Pelodiscus sinensis: one gene and its partner. The protein of the gene in region 1 interacts with the protein of each later gene in a biochemical or structural test. Links are inferred from orthologs where the notes say so. Each region holds a gene or a part of one and is shown on either strand. Other genes may lie near its edges.

Evidence for each region.
Region 2: the proteins of FOXA2 (region 1) and OTX2 form a complex in vitro, tested with the Homo sapiens proteins (2 studies listed by BioGRID). The link is inferred for Pelodiscus sinensis from reciprocal best matches to the Homo sapiens genes FOXA2 and OTX2.

Annotation. Positions count from the first base shown.
Region 1 is NC_134713.1:196,615,027-196,625,569, forward strand, and holds FOXA2 (hepatocyte nuclear factor 3-beta), read right to left. Parts: upstream 4,927-10,543; 5' UTR 4,483-4,926; coding exon 4,388-4,482; intron 3,700-4,387; coding exon 3,630-3,699; intron 2,993-3,629; coding exon 1,790-2,992; 3' UTR 1,147-1,789; downstream 1-1,146. UniProt on the Homo sapiens protein: Transcription factor that is involved in embryonic development, establishment of tissue-specific gene expression and regulation of gene expression in differentiated tissues.
Region 2 is NC_134714.1:10,380,457-10,391,397, forward strand, and holds the start of OTX2 (homeobox protein OTX2), read right to left. Parts: upstream 4,265-10,941; 5' UTR 3,903-4,264; intron 567-3,902; exon of another isoform or gene 475-566; intron 1-474. UniProt on the Homo sapiens protein: Transcription factor probably involved in the development of the brain and the sense organs. Can bind to the bicoid/BCD target sequence (BTS): 5'-TCTAATCCC-3'.

The DNA of each region.
Region 1 (10,543 bases):
TGACCCCAATAAACACGGGCCCGATCCTGAAGTTCTCTGGTAAAATTCCCAGCGAAATCCCGGCGCCCCGCGTGCATATTGGCGTGAAAATATGTCGCGCAGACTCGCGTGTGGGCAGGCCCGCTCCACTCGGGGTCACTTCGCACTTCGGGCAGCGGGCGCTCCAAGCGGCAGGAGCCGATGGCCTTTGGCGAGGCCCCAGTCCCCTAAACCTCCCCTCTTCCCCAAAGCTTGGGCTTCTCCGCCTTCACCCAGCCGCCCCCCTGGTCTCGGAGCCATAGTGCGCGACAGCTCCCGCCGCCCTGCGCCCGCTGACCCCTTTCAAGCTGTGTGCAAACTCCAAAGTTCATGACTCCAAGGACAGCGAGTCACCTGGCGCCAGTGAGTTTTACAGCGCCTGGATTTCAGGTGGAATCCCCGGTCTGAACTGGGGGGGGGGGAGAGAAGAGGGAGAGAGGAGGGGGTTGTGTCCAAGGGCAGTCATTACATGAAAATCCCGGGTCTATAAAGGCGGGTTGGTCCTTGGTCTGGTTTGGTTCGCGGCTTGGCTTAAAACGTGAAATATCCAAACGTGGTGAATTCTCAAACGCTCCCTTTGCTTTAGATCCCGAGCCGCTGAAACCCGGAGCGCATCCGTGTAACTGTTTCAAACTTTTTCATACAACCGTGAACAAAATCTAAGCGGTCATCTACTTTTCATGTGTGTGTCTTCTGTATGTAGCTTATACGATTCTTTAATCGATATGTAGTGTGTGTATATAATATATATCTTTTTATAGATGTGCCTAGACAGTTTATATTTTTCATATGTGTATATATCTTATAAGATATAGTACGTATTATATATAAGCTATATAATCTATTAAATATATATTAATAAAGATATATCTCATAATATATACAAATATATTGTATCTTATAAAACAAAGGTTTACATTCTTTCCATATATGAATGTATGCTATTCAGAAAGAATAAATACACACAAAGATACAAGCCTAGGTAGAGATTTAAAAAAAATATATATATTAGTATCTGAAATAAAAAGGGAATCCATTCGTTTTTCGTTTTCCTTGTCAGCGTTTTTTTCCCCCCTCCAGCGGGGCAGAAACAAATGGGAAAATCCGGGAAAAAAAGATTCAGGGGGAAAAAACGCCAATAACACTTTAATATAGTTTTTGTGAAAATCTGGCTCTTTGGGACCAGAATACACATTTATAAGCCATAAATAAAGCATACAGAAACGATAAATTAATCAGATCCAAGTAGTTTACTCGCCCGGTAACATCAAACGTTTGTATCAATTACAACAATCTAGCCTGACTTTTTTTTTTCTTTTTGTGATTTTTTTCTCTCTTTTTTTTTTTAACCTTTTTTTGGTGTTTTTTTTTCCCTCCCACTTTTTACACAACATGACAAGACTTTTGGTCCTCCCTTTCCGAACTAGCCTGGTTTCACACCGAATTAAGTTTTCCGTCACTTTCACACACGCACGCACAGGAAAAAAAATAGATATATTTATAACTCCCTGCAACGAAAAAGAGGACCCCACCCTCCGCTGCCCAGGACATCAAATAACGCCCCTCCCCCCCCAAGAAAGCACCCCAAGTCTCCGATTGAAACGGGGGTTTCCGGGGCCAATCCGGGGCCCGATCCGTTGGCCTTTGGACCGGGCTGGGAACGTGTCCTCGGAGGTCGGTCCCGGACACAAAATAGACACAATAGCTGGAGCCACGAACGCCGGCGAGGGCCGACCTCCGTCCCCTAGCCGGGTGGGGCCGGGGAGCCCTTTCAGGACGAGTTCATGATGGGCCGAGCGTACACCCCTTGGTAGTAGGCGGCGTCTCCGGCCAGCGCAGAGGGGTCCAAGCCACCTTTGTTCGTGACGGGCCCCATGGCCAGGCTGCCGGGCATGGGGGAGCCGTAGCCGGAATAGTGCATCACCTGTTCGTAGGCCTTGAGGTCCATTTTGGGGGGGTGGGGGTGCGGGTGGGGGGGCGGCGGCGGCTCGGACATCAGGTTGTTGATGGAGAAGGGGTGGTTGAAGGCGTAGTGGTGCTCGGGCTTGAGGTGGGCCGGGTGGGCCAGGTGGTGGGGGGCCAGCAGGTGCTGGGCCGGCGAGGGGGCCTGCTGCGGGGGGGTCCCCGCTTTGAGCTCGGCCAGGGCCCGCTTGTGCTCGCGGCAGGGCGAGGCGCCGGGGTGGGGGGACTCGGCGGCGCTGTCGGAGCCTCCTTCCCCGGCTTGGGGGGCCGCCTGGGGGGCCGGCGGCGGCTGCTTCTTGCCCCCGCCGCCTCCTCCGCCGCCCCCGGCCCCCGCTCCTCCCCCGCCGCCCGCCTCCTTGCTGCGCTCGCACTTGAAGCGCTTCTGGCGGCGCAGGTAGCAGCCGTTCTCGAACATGTTGCCGGAGTCGGGGTGCAGGGTCCAGAAGGAGCCCTTGCCCGGCTTGTCGGGCGAGCGGGGCACCTTGAGGAAGCAGTCGTTGAAGGAGAGCGAGTGGCGGATGCTGTTCTGCCAGCGCTGCTGGTTCTGGCGGTAGAAGGGGAACAGGTCCATGATCCACTGGTAGATCTCGCTCAGCGTCAGCATCTTGTTGGGCGACTGCTGGATGGCCATGGTGATGAGCGAGATGTAGGAGTAGGGCGGCTTGGCGTGCGTGTAGCTGCGCCGGTAGCTCTTGGGGTCCCGCGCGCGGCCGGCCAGGTTGCCCTGCCCGTACATGGGGCTCATGGGCGTCATGTTGCCGTAGGGGGCCAGCGAGCCCCCCTGGGCGCCCATGGGGCTCAGGCTGGGGCTGAGGTGGGCCCCCATGCCGCCGCCCATGGGCCCCGGCCCGGGGGACATGCCGGCCAGAGAGGGGCTCATGCCGGCGCCGTAGGAGACGTTCATGGAGCCGGGCCCGCCCAGGCTGGCCGCGCCGCCGCCGCTCATGGCCGACATGCCCATGTAGGTGTTCATGCCCAGGCCCGCGTTCATGCCGCTCACGGAGGAGTAGCCCTGCGAGGGGAGAGGAGCGGGAAGGGGGGAGGTTAACGCCGCTGCCAGGCAGTGCGGGCCGCCCGAGCGAGGGGGCTGGGGCGCCCCCCAAGCGCGCCCCCCCCTGCCCCCGCTCCCCAAGCCCCGGGGCGCGCTGCGCTCTGGCGGAACCGCAGCCGGCGGCTCCCCGCAAGAGCAGCGCCGGGAGAGGGAGCGGTCGCCCCGCGCTGGGGCAGTGGGATCGCGGGGGGGGGGGGGGGGGCTGGCCGGGCTGGAATCGCTCCCAAGCCGCTGGCCGCCCGACCCCCCTGGATCCGAGGATCAGGACCCGCCGGCTGGCTCGGCTCGCAGGATCGCCCCCTGCGCGTTGCCCCCTTCCGTCCCCAAACCCCGTCTCCGGCCACAAACTTCTCCCCGGTCTGCCTTGGCCCCCCTCCCGCCCCGGTCCCCCCCGGCGGTTCCCCTGCCAAACACAACTTTGTGAGGAGAGCGCGGGCCGGGCAGAGGATTTGGAAGCGGCGCGAGTCAATATTTGAGCACAAAGTTAATATTATCTCACGGCTCACCCGGCGCGGCAGCCGCCCCGCGCCCTGCTCGGGAGGGGGGGGGACAGGCACACACCCCCACCTCCCCCCCAGGAGCCAGCCGGGCGTCCTACCTCGGGCTCGGCGTAGTAGTTGCTCCAGTCCGCGGGTTCGTGTCCTTCCATTTTCACGGCGCCCAGCATACTGGAAGCGGAGTGCATGGCCGTTTAAAATTTAACAGCCACCACCGACGACAGGAGAGAGAACAACCCAAAAAAAAACCAACCCCCCCCCAGCCCTCCCTCCCTCCCCTCCAGACTCACTCCCGCGCTGCCTGCCTGCGAGGGGAGGGGAGGGGAGCAGGCTGCTAGCTTGGGGTGGATGCTTTTTTTTTTTTTTTTTCCTCCTGCAGCCGCTGCTTGGGTGAGTGGTGGGGGGTTTTTTTCAGCCCAGACTCGCCCGGAGGCGCTGGGGAAAGGAGGAGGCGCAGGACGAATGCAGCTGCTGTGACGTGGGGGCCTGGGAGATATAGCACCGGGGGGCCCCCCGGCCGGCCTCCAATCCCTTCTTCCCAGGCAGCCGATTTGAATAATCAGCTCACACCTAAGCGACAGGGCACCTGCCCGCGGCGGGGGCGGCCGGATCGGGCCCCAGGGCGAGCGCGCTGCGGCTGGACCCGGCTTGATGGGCCCCTGTTTTGGCCTCTGTCCGGGGGCGGGGAGGGCATGTGGGGTGCTCTGCAGTGAGGACCGCAGCAGTTCCCCTTCCCTCGCTCCCTCCCCAGCTCTGGACTCTTCCTGGTTTGCGAGCCTGGCTGCACGGCCCTCGGGGCTCGCTAGCCGGCCACCCAGCCCGAGCCTGGCGCTAATTCGAATCCGGGCTGTTTACACACCTTCGGCCCTCCCGACGCGGCTCCGGGCGCGCGCGACCCGGCGTCACTCCGCTCCCGAACCGAGCCGCAGCAGCGGCGGGGGTATCACGCCGCATTCCCCCCGCGCCGCCTGGGGCTTAGGAAGGGGTGAAATGGCTGGGGAGCGCCCATTCGGCGGCGGCAGGGCAGCCTGGCCCGCGGTTACCCAGCCACCGCCGAGGTAACTAAAACAAACAGGGGCAAGGTGCGGGAGCCAACAGCCGGGGCCCGGGACCTGCGATTGTCTCCCGCAGCCCGGAGCAGCGTCTCCTGCGCCAGCGGCTGCCCCCAGGAACTACCGGCCAGGTCCCAATTCACCCACAACGCCTTCCCAGCGGGAACGACCCCGCATCCCAACGCTTGGCCGTGGGAACTAGCCCCGTCCCCGGCCAGCTCGCCACGCAGCCCCCTGGGAAGGGGACGCGGGGTCATGGGTCTGGGACACGCTCGGCCAAGCTTCCTCGCGGGGCCTGCTAATTGAGAGTCCATTTTGTAACTAGTGGGGGATTCTTTTCCCGTGTCCCTGTTTTCTTAGATAGATGGATGGATGGATGGATGTGTATGGAGAGAGAGAGAGAGAGAGAGAGAGAGAGAGAGAGAGAGAGAGAGAGAGAGAGAGAGAGAGTGTGTATGGGGAAAGAAAGAAAGAAAGAAAGAAAGAAAGAAAGAAAGAAAGAAAGAAAGAAAGAAAGAAAGAAAGAAAGAAAGAAAGAAAGAAAGAAAGAAAGAAAGAAAGAAAGAAAGAAATCAGACAGACAGACAGACAGAGGAGGTGTATGGGGATCGATAGATAGATAGATAGATAGATAGATAGATAGATAGATAGATAGATTAGATAGATAGATAGATAGATAGATAGATAGATAGATAGATAGATAGATAGATAGATAGATAGATAGATAGATAGATAGATAGATAGATAGATAGATATGGTGTATGGAGAGAGAGACAGGCAGACAGACAGAGAGAACACTACTTGCTCTTCTTGCCACAGTTGTTCGACCAAAGGCTGGAACTTGTCTTTATTTTCTGAGGATACTTCAGCCGCTGTTTGAGACATTAAACGAAGTCAAGTGTCTTTAACAGCTTCGGCTCATGAGAGATTAAACGGTCTTTCTCGAGGAATAGAAAACAGCGATTCTGCGAAGGGGAGTGATCCTATTTCGTTGCCAATACCCCGCAGACACCTGGTCTCCATCCGAATTTTGAAGTTAAGGTTGTAAAGAGAACAAGTGATTCTAGTTTTGTCTGACAAAATTCTGTCGTAAAAAAAAACAGGGGACGGTGTCCTGGCATCATCCATTATTTTCATGTACAAATGTCCACTGAAATCGACACCCTATCTATCTATCTATCTATCTATCTATCTATCTATCTATCTATCTATCTATCTATCTCCATACAACCCATCTATCTATCTATCTATCTATCTATCTATCCCCATACATCCCCTCTATCTATCTATCCCCATACACTCTATCTATCTATCTATCTATCTATCTATCTATCTATCTATCTATCTATCTATCCCCATACATCCCCTCTATCTATCTATCCCCATACACTCCATCTATCTATCTATCTATCTATCTATCTATCTATCTATCTATCTATCTATCTATCTATCTATCTATCCCCATATACCTCCGCTATCTAGCTATCTGGCTATTTATCGGCATACACCTCTCTCTCCCCCTCGTCCCCATACACATCTATCTGTCTGTCTTACAAAACTTCTCCCTAAAAAGATATCACTATCAATAAATGGCGTAATATGTCCCACTAACTTTTCTTTCAAAGAAGACAAACACTTCCCAACTCTAAGAACGAAGGTTTTATAATAATTATAATATAATGCTGATATAGACCGCCCCAGAGGTTTTTCATTTACACGCAGACACTCATAAAATGAATAATTTTATAACGGGTACAGACATGTCTAAAGAAGCCAACAGTCGATTAAACAGAAATGTTAAAGGACGCCAACAAAAAAAATCAGCCAACGTGATTTTGTGAGAAACTGAATATTTTGTTAATAAAAATATGAATCTCTCTTTTTTTATTCTGCAGAATTAGCGGCTTTTCTTCTGGCTTTTTAAGAGTCCGTATTTATTGTTTCAACTAAATGATGACAATACAGAAGCCAAGCTACAGGGTCCCTTGGGAATAAGTGTGGAAAGCCAAGATCTGATTAGCACTCTTTTAAAAAAATAGATAAACTGGCGCTTCTCCTGTGTCTTGCTTGATGGAAACAGACAGTTTTTCTGGCACCTTTTCAGGGTCTTACAGATTAAAATATAGTGGTAGAGCGCCCCCTGTCGTTGGTTCAATGGCACTCCATATTCAATAGGATGAGGGGCCTGATCCAAAGCCCATCGAAGTAAATGGAAAGATTCCCATTGATTTCACTGGGCTGTGGATTAGCCCCTAAAACCAGTGCCTCTATGTGTTAGCCTTCATTTTAGAGTCCAAAGCAGCCTGCTTCTTAGCTTGTGCACAGTGGCATACTGCCTGATCCTTCTACTGTAACCAAATGCTTGTAGAGTGATTTTAGAGCCTCAGATGAAGGGTACATCAAGCGGTTGTTTTTCTTCTCAGTATGACTACACTTTTAAAGAATCCTTCCTATTAAACAGCAGCCATAGCCCCACAAGACAACCAACTATCATTAATGAATAATTGCAAAGAGGTTAATTGGACAATTTAAACATTCCCCCTCCCCTCCCCTCCCCCCACACCCACCCCTACTCCATACACACACAATACAATTGTCTATTCTAAATGTGCTTGTTCCTGTGAGGTTTCATGTATCTTCTGAGCACAGTTATTGGTTTGATTAAATCACTGGGTAGAATTCTGTGGCCCTGTGTGATGTCAGAGGTCACACTAAATTATCATAATGGTTCATTCTAGCCCTTTAGTCTGTGTAATTCTTTTTGGGGCCCCTTGAAATGGCTGCCAGTGTCCCTAAAAGCCACCTGATCTGGCTACAGTGGATTCCTCCAGGGGGAAACCACCTTCTGAGGACACACTTGCAGGCTTTGGTGTAGGGAGGTTCGAGGAGGAAGGGACATTCTGAGCACACTGCAGCAACAGAGAAAAGAAAGGAAGGAATATTGTGTCCATTTTACAGATGGGCAACTGAGGCCAGGGAAGATGTGGGTGATGGGCTCTTCACTCACCTGTCAAAACTGGGGCAAGATCTGTTTTAGGGATGGAGCAACTATTTTTTGGTGTTGGTCATCCACTACATCACATTAGAACAGTGCATGTGGCTTGTACTTCAGTGTTTCCTTCCACGCTCCTCTCCCGCTCAGTTTAACCATATGCAATACAACAGAAAAATGCATTGCTTGAAAGGGAAAATATAAGGAGCTGATTAAGTAAAATCAATTAAGAGGATGTTGCATATAAATAATTGAGGGTGAATGACCCAAAGATCAGCTATTTCTAGTTTAGTGCTTGACATTAAGTTAAATCTTTTTTGGCATGGTTCTGATGGGAGGTGACTTTTTTCCCCAGGTATGAAATCAAATGGCAACAGTGCCACGAGGAATGATTACGTGATCGTGTTCTAACCGTCTAACAGATGTCAAGGGCAAAATAATTCCCCTGAGTTCAACAATAGTAGGAGCAAGTCCTTAAAGAGGATTTTCTAGCACCAATCAGATTGTCCAGCCTACACCTACACAGCGCTTAACACGCGGTTAGACTTGCTATTGATCTCGGCAGGGTTCCTCACAGCGCATACAATTAAGCACATCGATAAAGCTTTGCTGGCTCAGAGCCTACATTTATCCTAGGTCTGGCCTGCACCTAAAAGTGAGATCAGCTCTAACTACACCACTTAGAGCTGTGAAAAATGTCAGCCCCTTCCCACTGCAGATGCAGCTAAGTCTTTCTCTCATCCAACCTAGCGACCGCCTCTCCGGGAAGTCCGTTAGTCACAGAGATGGAAACAAGGATCTTCCCCCAGACCTGAGAGGTTCCAAAAGGATCCTGTGGGATTTCTCTTTTCTCTTTTACTAATGCTGAGATTTCTGCCCCAAATATTCTAATTCGAGGGCCTTTCCCGACTACAGAAGAAGACCCCAGGTCTGCCCCTGCAGTCATGCCGTTGGATTTCTACGGTTAACCAGATGCCCTCTGTGTTCACATTTTGCAGGGCTGGCGGGTGCACTACAGATGTCCCTGGAATGGCATATACTCTCCATAGGTCTGGTCCCATGACCAGAACCACTCCTGAGATCCTCAAGTTCTGTTGCTCATTTACACCCAGGCCTTTGACGGGAATGTGCCAGTGTCAAAGTGTAATTTGCACCTTAAAGTAGGCGTAAATTGCATTTCCACCAGAGAATGTCACAGGGCATTTGCAAAGGTCCTTTAAAAATGGATCTGGGAGAGCAGGAGTAAGACAGGAGAGTCTGAACCTTTTAGACCCGCTGCTGCGATGCTTTTTAGAGTGTGTGATGGATCTTTCAGTCCCAGCTGGTCGACAGACAATCAGCTGGTGTCATTCCCTTGCCTGTTACTACATGGATACTTAGTAGTAACTGTTCTGTTTCAGAAGTTTCAGTCATCTAAAGAAGTGGGCTGTGCCCACGGAAGCTCATGATCCCATCTACATGTTTTGTTTGTCTATAAATTGCTACCAGATCATTTGCTGTTTTTTTCTGTAACAGACTAACTCGGCTACCCGCTGAAACTCCACCCTGGTAGTTCTCTCCACGCTGGAGAAGAGTGAGAACTCACTAGCCTCCAGATGTCTGTGCACCTGGCCCCTAAAAGCCTGTTAAAACACCGCATTCTCCCAATCCAAGGGAAGGCACTATGGAAGGGAAACTACGGTAACCAGGACATTTCAAACCAAGGCCCCTTTTCTCCTGGAGGAAGCTTGCCCTTCCAGCACCCACAGGGAGCAACGGAGGTGTTAATCTTTGTTTTCTTTCCACTTTCTGCATACAGTGATGCAGAGATTTGCATCCACCGCTTCTCATGAATGCAGGCCGTGGGGTGGCGGGGGGGGGGGCATTTGGGAAATACATGAACCCATCATGCCCATGCTATAAATGGTATCCAGGGACTGATTGATCCTATTTTTTTTGGTTATGAATACACATTTGAAACAAGGGTTGTGCTTCTCGCTTCGGAGACACCTCAAATGCCAAAGGGTAGGAGGAAACGATTTCCTTTGGACAATCGGTGCATGAAATGCCCCGGACTAGTGCCTCCGATCATGTGGAGGAAAGAATGGAAACATAAGGGTCTGATGTGAGGCCAATATTCAGTTGAGAACTTTTGCACAAGGAATTGGCATTTATCTTGTGCTGTAGCAGGGAACTCTACATATCATAACATAAGAACATCAGAACGGTGACATTGGGTCAGACTACAGGTCCATCGAGCGCAGTGTCCTGTCTTCTGATAGTGGCCAGATGCCCCAGGAGAAATAAACAGAACTGGGAATCATCAGGTGATCCCTATCCTGTCACCCATTTCCAGCCTCTGACAAATAGAGGCTAGAGACACCATCCCTCTTCATCCTGGCTAAAAGCTATTGATGGACCTAACCTCCATCAATGGATCTAGTTCTTTTTTGAACCCTGTTAAAGTCCTGATCGTCACCACATCCTCTGGCAAGGAGTTCCACAGGTTGCCTGTGAGCTGGGCAAAGAAAAACTTCCTTTTGTTTGTTTGCAACCTGCTGTCTGTTCATTTCTCGATGACTCGATGACCTCTTGAGGTCCCTTCCAGTTCTAGTCATCTGTGATTCTAGGATTAGCTACAGCTGTGTGGCTCTGAGGCACTGACAGGGCAAACTGACCTCTGGCCGCAAGGATTTCTCATGTAGGAAAGGGATAACACCACCTTCCTCTCCAAGAATGGTTTGAAACTTGTAGCCAAAATGTCTATTTTAGTATTGGTTATAAAAACGTACGTATGATGCACCATGCTTGATGTACGATGATTTGCTCGTAAGTTCTGTAGGTGTCTCTCGCCTGTTTCTCGTGCTTTGCAAACTCAGCTGGGTCTTGGCCTAACGCTGCCCTCCTCTGTCTGGTGTGTGCTGTCCATTGCCTGGCATGAGTGAAGAGCGGGTGAGAAAGGCCTCCGGGGGTTCAAAGGCTCCTGACGACT
Region 2 (10,941 bases), on another chromosome or scaffold:
ACATTGTATTGCTGCCCTGGGCATTTGCATAGGGTGCATCGGCTGGCACTAGCTAATTGTCTCAAACAAAACTTGATTGGGGCTATTTGCGGACACAAAGACCTCCTTGGCTAAATAAATAATGCTGATAACAAAGCCCATTGGCGAGAAACAAAGAAACAATTCAAGACACCTATCTCTCCCTCGGCCTGTCGCAGGGCTTTTTAATGAGCCCACATTCAGCAGCTAGGAACCCCAAAATGCTGGCGCATTTAAGAGCAGAAATGCCATCTTGGAATGAGCCAAACTTTTCCGTCCTGCCACTATCATCCCGCGTTTGAAGTGATTTCCATCAGCCCTTTTCCACCTAATTAGTACGTTGGATAATTAGATTTAGAGGTAAGTAAGAGATTGATGAGGCTTTCAGGAACTCTTGATTAGGTCGCTCACGCTAAACAAACAAGTATTTAACTTTCAAACAAAAAAAAAAATCACCCAGCGAAACTTGCTTCCCAAGGTCCTCAAGGGTTAGGAAAAGACTCCCCTTAAAACACTAGCAGTCATTTTCTGTCCATTGCAGGCTGGGTCTGCAGGAAGAGGCATATTATTAGGAGAAATACCATCCTTTCATTTCCTAGCCCCCAGTAGCCTTTGGTTGGTTTCTCCCTAGCCCTACTGACACCTATTTGGAAAGCAGCTTCCCCCTCCCCCCCCCAAAAAAAACTCTTTACTTTTCCATCCTGCTCCAGGGTTCCAAAGTGTGACATTAACACAGCCCGGCAAACTAGCGTGTTCCATAAAATGTTACCCTGCTCTTGGACCGAGCTAAGGACTTTACAACTTTGAGGAAGCGCCTTATTTTCCCCCAAAATGGCGGACAGGGAGGAGGGAATTTCCAAGAGTGCAAGAAGAAGATTTGGATGGTGATGTTTAGACTGTCCGGCTTCCTGCTCCGATGGCATAAAGAACCCAGCCATCTCAATCAACTCCTCACTGCGGAAGTTAATTCATCTTTCACGTTACAAAACCACGCTCCTTTAATTCAACGTTAATGTAAAAATAAAGCGGATCTTTGAGACTTTTCCAGATCCCTCCCATTCAAAGGTAGATGTTTCATCAAATAAATGCCTATTAGCTAAATTATAAACCAAAGCCAGCCTACTCTGTTTCACGTGCTGTGTTACTACAAACCTTAGTCTAGTCTAGCAAGGTTTTTAATCGATACTTGGCTATTTTAACTTTCCTGAGTTGCATGAATTAAGTTTCTCAATTCCGATATTTATTATTGCATTTTTCTCTTGAACTTAACGGTACTTAATTTGCAAATCCTTCTTCTATTAGTGAGAAAACAGCAATTTACTAGGATCAGAAGAGATTTGTTTTTAAAAGTATATTGTGTGCGCGCATTTGTGAGTGAATAATAAACAGGCATCACACACACAATCACATATATACAAATATAGTTCATGCACACCTCTTCGGAAGTGTATATTTCACTACAATCCCTTATGGAAGAATTTCAGTTTAATTTAAAAAAAAAATTCTCAGAACAATTACAAAACAAAACAAACCCCCATTCCTACGTTTTGATGTTTGGCCACGTTAGAGGGACATTCCGAGTCCCATCTTCCTATGAAATAGGATTAAAAGCTTCCATGACTAGAATCAAACTTTTTTTTTCTAGTGAATTCGTTGCAGTGGATACTTGCCTTAAGTGGGAGAGATTTTCGATCTTAAAAAAAAAAGTGCAGGAAATCTGCCGCCCTTGGAACGCGGAGGGACACCATATAAATCCAAGGCGTTTGCAAATCTGGAAATGCGATGGGAAGTTGGATTTACCGTCCTGCCTTCTTGCATGCGGCTTTGCGCCTCTGACCTGCTTGGTGGCACGGTCTCTCAGTTTTATATCTAACGGCCATTCTGCTCAATCTGTCACCTTTTTCTCCCTCCCAAAGATCTCATCTACCAGTTGCTCTGCCCTCGCTCAATAATAATTACCCAGTCCAAGAATTAATTATAATAAATGTTTTCTTGATAAACTAACGAGATAATCCGAGGGACACACGTTCCCTAATTACGGGCCGCCAGACCTAGCTCGGCAGATCATGTGCACTGATTAATTTTCTGCCTGATGGCAATGAAACAAAACGTATATAGACTGGCGTACTGTTTATCACAACACGCAGCCTGGGGTGAAGAACTGCAGGGAAAGTTTTAGGCCTGGGGGGGAGGGGATCATTTAAAGGATGCAAACGGGGAGACCCCTCTTTTTGCGCATAGTCACTTTTTGGTGTCTGATATTGTTTGTGACAGTGATTTCTCTCCTCACCCCCCTTCATACTTTTAACAGGAAGGGGAATTTAAAAATACAGTTGGCGGTGGGTTAAGAGGTATCATCAAATCCTGCTTTTTATTCGAGCTCCCCAGTGTAGCTAAAAATCACCCAGACCTCACCATTCTCCTTCAAAAAAAGTTTTAAAAACTCAGCCCTTCGTTGCTACACAATAAAACCACCTGCACGGGTAAAAATCAGAGAACCGCCCTGCGAAGGAACTAACCTTCGGCATTATGGTAAACTCTCTTCCCCCCAAACCAGGCATTTTCACCTTTTTGGTTTTTAAAAAAATATTGGATGTCATGTGCACCGTACGCCCGCTTTGATCGCCATGAATGCAAACGCACGTAGATCCAAAATGACTGAATTATGCCGAAGACAGGTTTACACAGGGGAGAAACTTGCAACGGGTTTACTTTCTTCGGCCTAAGGGGAACAAGTTTAAAGAGATGCAGCTGTGTGTGTGTGTGTGTGTCCGTGTGTATCCGTGTCCCCAAGACTGCATCCCTTTGAACTTCTTCCTCTTTAGTCAACGAAGATAACCCCCTTGCAAGTTATATATCGGGGATATAACACAAACGGCTTTACACCACACACCTCCAATTGCAGAGCTTTGTCTCTGTCTACACCGGTCGGTAGCTAGTGTGTAGCCATTTGCGTTACACACACCACTCTGCGGTGTTTAGGTTTTGGGCACGGCTTCTCTGAAAGCACCTGTCCAGTGATAGCTGCAAACCGATCCGTCTCCCGTTTAGAAATTGACCCGATCCTTGTCATTCATTTCCACAGTAAAGAGAAACGGCGTATTTTTTTATTCTCTCTCCACCCCAAGTTGATTGAAAGAGTCTAAGCCCCCCCCCAACACACACACACACACACACTTAAAAAAAATCTAACCCTTTTCTTGTTGCCTCGAGTCCCGTCTGCTCAAAGCCATGTTTGCAAAACGACTTTTCCCTTTGCTGAGTCTATCGATCGGGAGTACGAGGCAGAAATCTGTTTATCAATAACCGCTCAGACCAGGGATGTCATTCCACATTATTATTATTATTTATTTAAGAAGTGTATGTACCGCTAGACAGCGGCCGGAGGATCAGGCCAAGCACAAGAAGAAGAACAATTTTGTTTTTCATGGGAAAAGCTCGCTTTGGGAGGAAGAGAGTCCCACACAGACAACCAAATCAAGGGAGGGGAGAGCAGTGTCTACCCGCCTCCTCAATTAGCAGGCTTGGTCCCTGCCTTTTCATTCAGACTCTGCATATCGGGGAAATGAATTAAATTATATTGGGGAGGCATCTGGGGAAGCGAGTTTCGGACCTTTTCCCCGCCCCACTCCTACCGGAGCTGCGAAACTAGGATCGGTCTCAGTCCACAGAACAACGGGAAACGGGCCACTCCGAATTATAGCGAGAGAGGCTGAATTGTGCCCTTGGCCAAGCGAAATCAAACTGTCGCTGTCGCGAGCTCTGCTGTGATTCCCGGGACAGATTTAGGGACCACCGCAAAGCGAGAGAGAGATCTTCACATGCTCAAGGAAAAAAAAGAAAAAAAGAAACCGTTTTCAAACAAGCAAAGCGTTCACACTTACCTTGAGGCTTCTAGGGAGGAGTGTGCCGGGGTGGGGGAGGGAGGAGGCGGGCAAAAAACTGACCAAATTATCCTTTGCCAAATTCAAAATAAAGCGCTCCCCTACAAAAGAAATCACAAAGCAGCGGGTTAGAAATCTTGCATCCTTCCACCTTGCCCGAGAAGCGAACGAAAAAGGGGGCGAGCGAGGCTACACGAGTCTAAAGGCTTTTCAATGGAGCAGGGGGGGGCTCTGTCTTCGATACATACAAAGTAGGACGTAGCCGGATCCGGCCAAGGGGTTTTATTTTTTAATAACAGTGGAGAAGTGAATTGGAGCTGAGGTCTCTACCTCTCTCAGGGAGATTTGCTGAGAAAGCGCCGCTCTGGCAACTTTTTGACGCAAACTCTCCAACCAATAGCAAGGAGAGAATGATTGACACATCTAAGCCAGAGGGAAAATAATAAAAACACACAACAGGGGGAGGAAAACAGGCCACTGCTGCACTGGGGGGACGAGCAGGCAACACGGAACAGCGACCAAAAACCGACACAAGAATATACATAAAAGCAACGAGGCTCGTTTTTAAAAAAATATACATTCGGGGCTGCAGCATATGAACTAATTGTACAATTAGCATGATGGACAGCAAAGATCACGTTACTTTCTTGCTGGGGGGAGAGGAGACGGTGGGGGAAGATCACACACACACACACACACACACACACACACACACACACACACACGAAAGAGGATATTAAAATATAAGAGTAAACATTATGGGAAAGGGAGGGGGTAGGGGATACATCCCGGGGAATTCAAAGCAAAATCTGCCAAGAAGCTCTTGGATTAAAAGCACAACGCATGTCAAAGACCGGAGTTTAACGCCCCCGCCTCCCCAAGGCAGCTGAGGTATCAAAGAAAGTGAAACTAAGTCAGAGACAGAGAAATAAAGCGCGAGCGAAAACTATTGGTGACAGGGACCAAGCCTGGGATGCGGGTCCAAAGTGAACTAGCCAGAGGCGGAGGGGAAACGGGTTAGTGCTGCTTCCCTGCTAGATGGACAGCGTAGGGTGCACTAGATGGGTGCAGAGATGCCCTCTCTATGGAGAGAGAGAGCCTGTGCAGTCAAAGGGGGCCTAGGGGAGAGGATCCTCTATGGGACAAGCGCGTAGCAAGTGCCTGGCGCGGGGGGGCGGAAGATTGCGCGCTTCCTCGCGGCCAGCACGCCCCTGGGCAATTCAGAAATGCCAGCTCTCTCCTGGTCGCCCGGTTTCGGGGACTTGCTCTGCTGGGTCCGAGAGGGCTGCTAACTCATCCCCCCCCCCCCCCCCCCAGAGCGGAGACCAGAGCACGTTTAAAACACGCGGAAAAAAGTCGCCGAGCTCAGCAGAAGCCGGAGAGGAAGCCCCTACTCCCGCCGGCACCCGGGGGAGAAATCAAATACAAGCCGGCCCGAGCCTGGCAGTGGGGGCATGAAGTACAGCGGGTCACTCGCCTCTTCCTGCCGCTTCCTCGCCCACATGTGCGTGGCCGGGACGCGCTGCAATGAACGAAAGAATTCAGAGCCTCGGCGGCTTTATTTTTATTTTTTATTTTTTGCCGGGGAGGGGCAATTCAAAACAAAAGCAAAAGTAAAATAATTGTTCCCCCCCCCCCAGCCCTTTGAGGGGAGACTTCTGAAAAGTTTGGGGCTGGCTGGGATGTCCGCAAGGGCAGCTACTCGCTAGGAAACTCCGCCGTGTCGCATCCCCTGGCTCCCCAAGAGAATCAAAGCATCGATTCCCCGGCCCTGCTTTGTAGGAACCCGGACACATGGATTTTGAGGGGAGTAGATACTGGCTCTTTGTACCCCTCTCCCCAGTCACTCGACAGAGAAGCCTGAAAATGATGTAAAATCCCCGTGTAGGCACCGCGTCCCTCTGAATTTTCCTTGCCATAATAAATATCGAGAATCAACTCTTCCCCTCCTCCCCCTTCATTGGTCCTCTCGCGATTTAATAAGATTAATCCACCTTGGAAGAAATCTAAAGATAATTTCTTCCCGTGCATCCTGGCCCAGAAGATTTTCTGAATGGGAATCGATTTTTTTTTGTTAAAAAAGGGGGCAGTAAAAGAGGGAATGGGGGATGTAGGTGGGGGTGGAGTGGGGAGACCTGGGAGGAGCCGTTAAATAAAACACAGCGCCCCAAAAAAAGCCTAGTGAAAAACCGGGACTGAAGAGCTGGGAATTGCAAGCCATGGAGTTTGTGGTAAATATCCAGACCAGCAGCAGCTCTTGAAACTGACCATGCTTAGATTGTGTGGGGGGCCGTGTGAATAAGGGAGCTCCCTTTCCTGTAGCTAGGGGACTGCATGAGGCGAGCTCCCCAGCCTGTTCCTTTGCCCTCTAGTCTAATAAGTTTGGAATAATCGCCCGGCCAATAAAACAAGTGGCAGAAATGGACGGTGTGACTTAAATAAACAAGGGTCTCTTTAAAATTCTCATCCACTTCAGATGTCTAAAGTAAGATTGTGATGATTTTGTCACGGTTTGGTAAATTTACCCCTTTAAGAGGCTTTCATAAATCCCAGAACACACCTTCAGCCAGATTTGAATATAGATTTAGGTTTTAAAACCCAGAAGCTGGGAACACCGCTTTATCAAAGAGAATTTCCCTTTAGCTTAGCAATGTGTTGGAATGGCTCTTGCAAAGATTGGATCTGAAAGGGGGGAAAGGGAGAAACCTTCTTTCTGGAGGAATTCTGCACAGACCTTGCAGCAGCTCCTGGCTAAACCTTTCCTGCAGCTAATGGGAAACTTGCAAAAATGGGGTTCTCCGTCGGTACGAATGCGCTTTAGCATTGCTTTTTTTTTTAATTCCAATATCTTCTTTTTCGATACGGAAACCCTTTTCAGACCAGGTGCACTGCCAGAAATCCAGCCTAACTCGGGATAAACTCCTAGTGAGTGGACGCTGTGGGGTGAACGATAAAGAACTCTGAGAACCAAAAATCTACTTCTGGGACGAAAAGCGCTCTGACTTCTGAGTCTCAGTAAGTTCTCCAACTTCCAGTACCAATTGTTTTCCATAGCCATTCATTTCCTCTCTCTGCCTAGCCATCCTCTCTCTTTTCCTCTCTATTTTTGATTCCTTTGGCATTATTTTCCACGCCTTCTACGTTGACTGTTTTGCAAGCGTTTGTGGCTGTTTGTTTTGAACCGCTCGGTGTGTAGATGATGACAAAAAGAGTTTATTACCGAAGAGTGAAGCGAGCTTCCCCGAATCTGAACCGATTTATGATTTGTCACCTTTCTATCGCAGCTCGGATCCGGAGAGCGAGGCATGCTACTCGCTTAGCTTTGCCCTCTGCGGAGTTGGGTCTAGTTAAAATATTCCGCACTTCCCCCGAGTTTATACGCGGTTTTCTGCTCCCCCCCAAAACCCCTCTTATTTTGGGAGGGATGCGATTGAAATAGCCATCCCCAAACACCAAGGGCCACTGTTCAGAAATGTTGCCAGTTGTTGCAATGTTAAAAAGAGCTCCCTTTTCATTCGGTCTCAGAGTTGAATACGTTCCTTTGTTGTTGTTTTTAATTAGTCGCCACCCCAACCTCGCTTAAAACAACTTTCATAATTGGGATGGGAGGGAGGGGGAGGGGAGGAGAAAAGGGAAAGAAAGAGGCAACATGGAAGCTTTCCATTTTACAGCCATCTATTCCCCAAACATGAGACACTGAGGCAGAGAGAACTCCCCACAAGGAAGGGCTGAAACTGACTATGGTCCAAAAAAAGGAGAAAGGTCTCCCTGAAATCGCGAAATAAAACAGATCGCGCGTGTTTCCGGAGGGAGCTGGGTGGGGGTCGCGCCTGAGGAATGGGTGGGATGCGAACTCGGGTGGAAACATTCTGTGCATACGTGGGAGCCGGTGGGTCAGGTGTGTGTGCGTGTTTGTGGCTGAAAGGCGTTAATTATCCGTTTCCGTGATTTTCCTCTCCTGGCCCTGGAGTTGCCTAGATGAGGAGCAATCCGTTTATAGTTCCCAGTCCTGATATTAAAATAAGGATTCCCGGCCGATATCCAGCACGCTGGCAAACTTCATAGCTGGCTTGGGGAAGGGGGAAAACCAGAAAGCAATGGGGGTGGTAAGAAAGAATAAAAAAAACTCCTCAGCGAAGCTCTAACCGAGCCATTCCCACCTAACCTTTTACACCCTTTATTTCCCGCACACAGAAAACGTCTTTTACTGAGACCCGCAAAGAACTTTCCCTTTGCTTTGGTTTCCTTTGGATTTTTAATTAGAACCCATCAGATGCAGCCATATATATAAGAATCGATATAAAGTAATCCTCGGAGATGGGGGATAAGGTTTTAATCGAAAATCTTCTTTGCCATTCTTTGCAGATCTTCTTTAGCCGCTGGCTGGTGGAGAAACAAATGTTCATTTTAACCCCCCCCCACCCCCCACCCCCCGCACACAGACAAAGCAGAAAACTTGCAAAAGATCAGAAACCAACTGTTGTTACCCTGGGAATAAGAAATGAACTCTCATGTTATCTTCTTTCTTTCCCTTACTCCCAACGATTGCTTGGTGGTTTTCCTACCTACATGAATCTCTAAACATCACCTTGAAAAATAGATCCATGTTTTCATCTGCTGCACACCACGTTGGAAGAATTATTTTCCCTGCAAAAGAAAGAGGCGGGATTGTGTGTGTTACTAAAGATCCAAAAAGTACAACATGGGCAGGAAATCGTCTAGTAAACGAAATCCTTAAATTGGCCACAGATTAAGGAAGGAATAGCGAATTTTTTAACCGCGTTTTGTTTGCTTTTGTTACATGATGTTCCATTTCATTCGCCTCTGTTACTTCAGGAAATATTTATTTTCGAATGTCAAAAAAACCCCAGTCTTTAGCCCGTACAGACTAGCAATCGGTACTTTGCTCAGAGGGGTGGGGTAGGGGAGGGAGGGGAAGAGACGCCAGCGTTTTAAACAATACCACCAGCTTCAATTTGTTTTGTTATTTTAAAATTCATTGTCAGTCTATTCTGGCTCCCCTGTGTTCTTGCATGATTAAACTGTGTTATTTGTGTTCCCAAAAGCTGCGCATTATCTCCAAGTGCAAGTGCATTTGAAAGCATCATCCTCTGGTTTAACGTAAGCAAACCAGACTGCGGGAAAAAAAAGTTTCCCCGCGTAACTGCGGCGGAGCGTCGACTCGGGAGTCGTGTTAATCATGATTTTCTATTTGATAAGTGCGTTTTAAAGAAGGGTCCCTGCTTCTATTTATTTATTTATTTATTTTTAATCTGAAGACAAGCGAGCCTGCCTGGCCGCGTTTGAAACCCAAGCTGGCGTCTTAGCTCGATGAAATTTCAATTTATTTAAAAGCCTGGTGTTTAATACACGACATGGGCCACATATAGCGGAGGCAGCTCCCTCCTCCCCCGCTGTACTTTCGCCGTAATCGCGTCTAATGAAAACGTGGGATTTCCCCATTATTTGGGGGAGGGGGGGGGAGAAGTGAAAATATAATGCATCTTCATTAGGAAAATTGACTGCTGTGCTCAAGACAGTTCTTAATTGAAAAGGCAACCTATTTTAATGGGGTGGGCGAGGAGAAGATTACATACTTTATCCAAACACAAAGACAATTAATAACGAGGAGCAGCCTGCTGCCATTAACTCTAATGCAGTTGCATCAATGTCAGACTGAGGGCTCCTACCTGGGACAGATAGTGAAATGCGCTCTCGGTTCGCGTCTGCTCTCCACTTGGCGAGTCGTTCATTGCCCCCGAGGCGAGGCCCCGTTATTTTTGGTCCGGGGATACACTGATCAAGAGCAGGCACCGATTTTTTATTGTTGTGGGGGGGAAGGGGCTGAGTTAGTTTTTCATGGCAGCGAGTGGCACACGCAAAACTCGCCTCCATGCGTGATTTGGAAGGGACTTTCCTGGAGGGAGCTGGCGTCTTTGGGCATAAGAGGCCGCGCATTTCATCGGCCGGCCACCCACAAGCCTGTGTCCCAAAGCCACCGTGTCCCTCCTCTCCAGCCTTTCTGGAGACCAGCTTCCATCTCCGCCGCGCCTGGCGCAGTGCGTGCGGCTGGGTTATTTATTTTGTAAATACACTTTCCTTCCGTGGCTTGGCAGCAAGCTGCCTTTACGCCGCTCTTCGGGGTTGTTTGGGTGTCGGGTTTGAATTTTCGGGTCAAAAGGGCAGTGGGGACCGTCTGAGGAGCGAGAGGGGATACAGTCCGCGGAGCGCGCTTTGGCTCAGTGAAAAGCCAAGATCCGGCGAGCGCCCAACTCTTTGCTCCTACAGCGGCGTGGATTGGGGAGTTCAAACGACCACAGACATAGGGCAGCAGGTGTCAGCTCCCCCCCCCATATGCAGGGGTACCAGACCCACACTCCGGCTGCTGAATGTCTCCGACATTTCTAACAATCCCTTTCTCAGCAGGGACCCGATCCAACACCAATTGCACAGAAGTTTTCTGTAGGGCTTTGGCCCAGACCAGGCAGAAAGGGGCGGGCGCGGGGGGGGGGGGGAGAGGGGGTCCTAACTTTTTAGATGGAAACCGGTTTCACTGGCCCGCTACTGCGGAGCGTGGCTCATCCTTTCTGCCTGCTCTCGGAACCGGAGCCGAGTTGTGTTTACACAGGGCCGCTGGGGCCGCTCCAAGGCGACTGGCCCAGCCCACTCGCGCGCTGTGGGGTGGGTGGAGAGCGATGGGCCTCGCTTGGGCATGGGCTTTTGTAGCCGCGACCCCCAGGCCGTCTCCCCCCCTCCACTGTCCGGGGGCTGCTGGTGGCGATCGCAGGTTTCCAGACGGGTCCCTTAAATCGCTCTCCCCGGTTTGCAGGGGGAGGGTGGGGGAGCAAACATGGGGGGGGGAGAGCCCAGGTTTGCAGCTCCCCGAATAGGATTAACCCGCCCCCACCCTAAATAGCCCTGGGAGCTTTAGCCCCGCCCCAGCTGGCTCTGGGGGGCGGCTGCAGGGCTCGGGGCCCGGCGGACAATGGCCCGGCCTCCTTCCAGCTGCTCGCCTTCTGCGGAGCCTTTACTCCCCCCG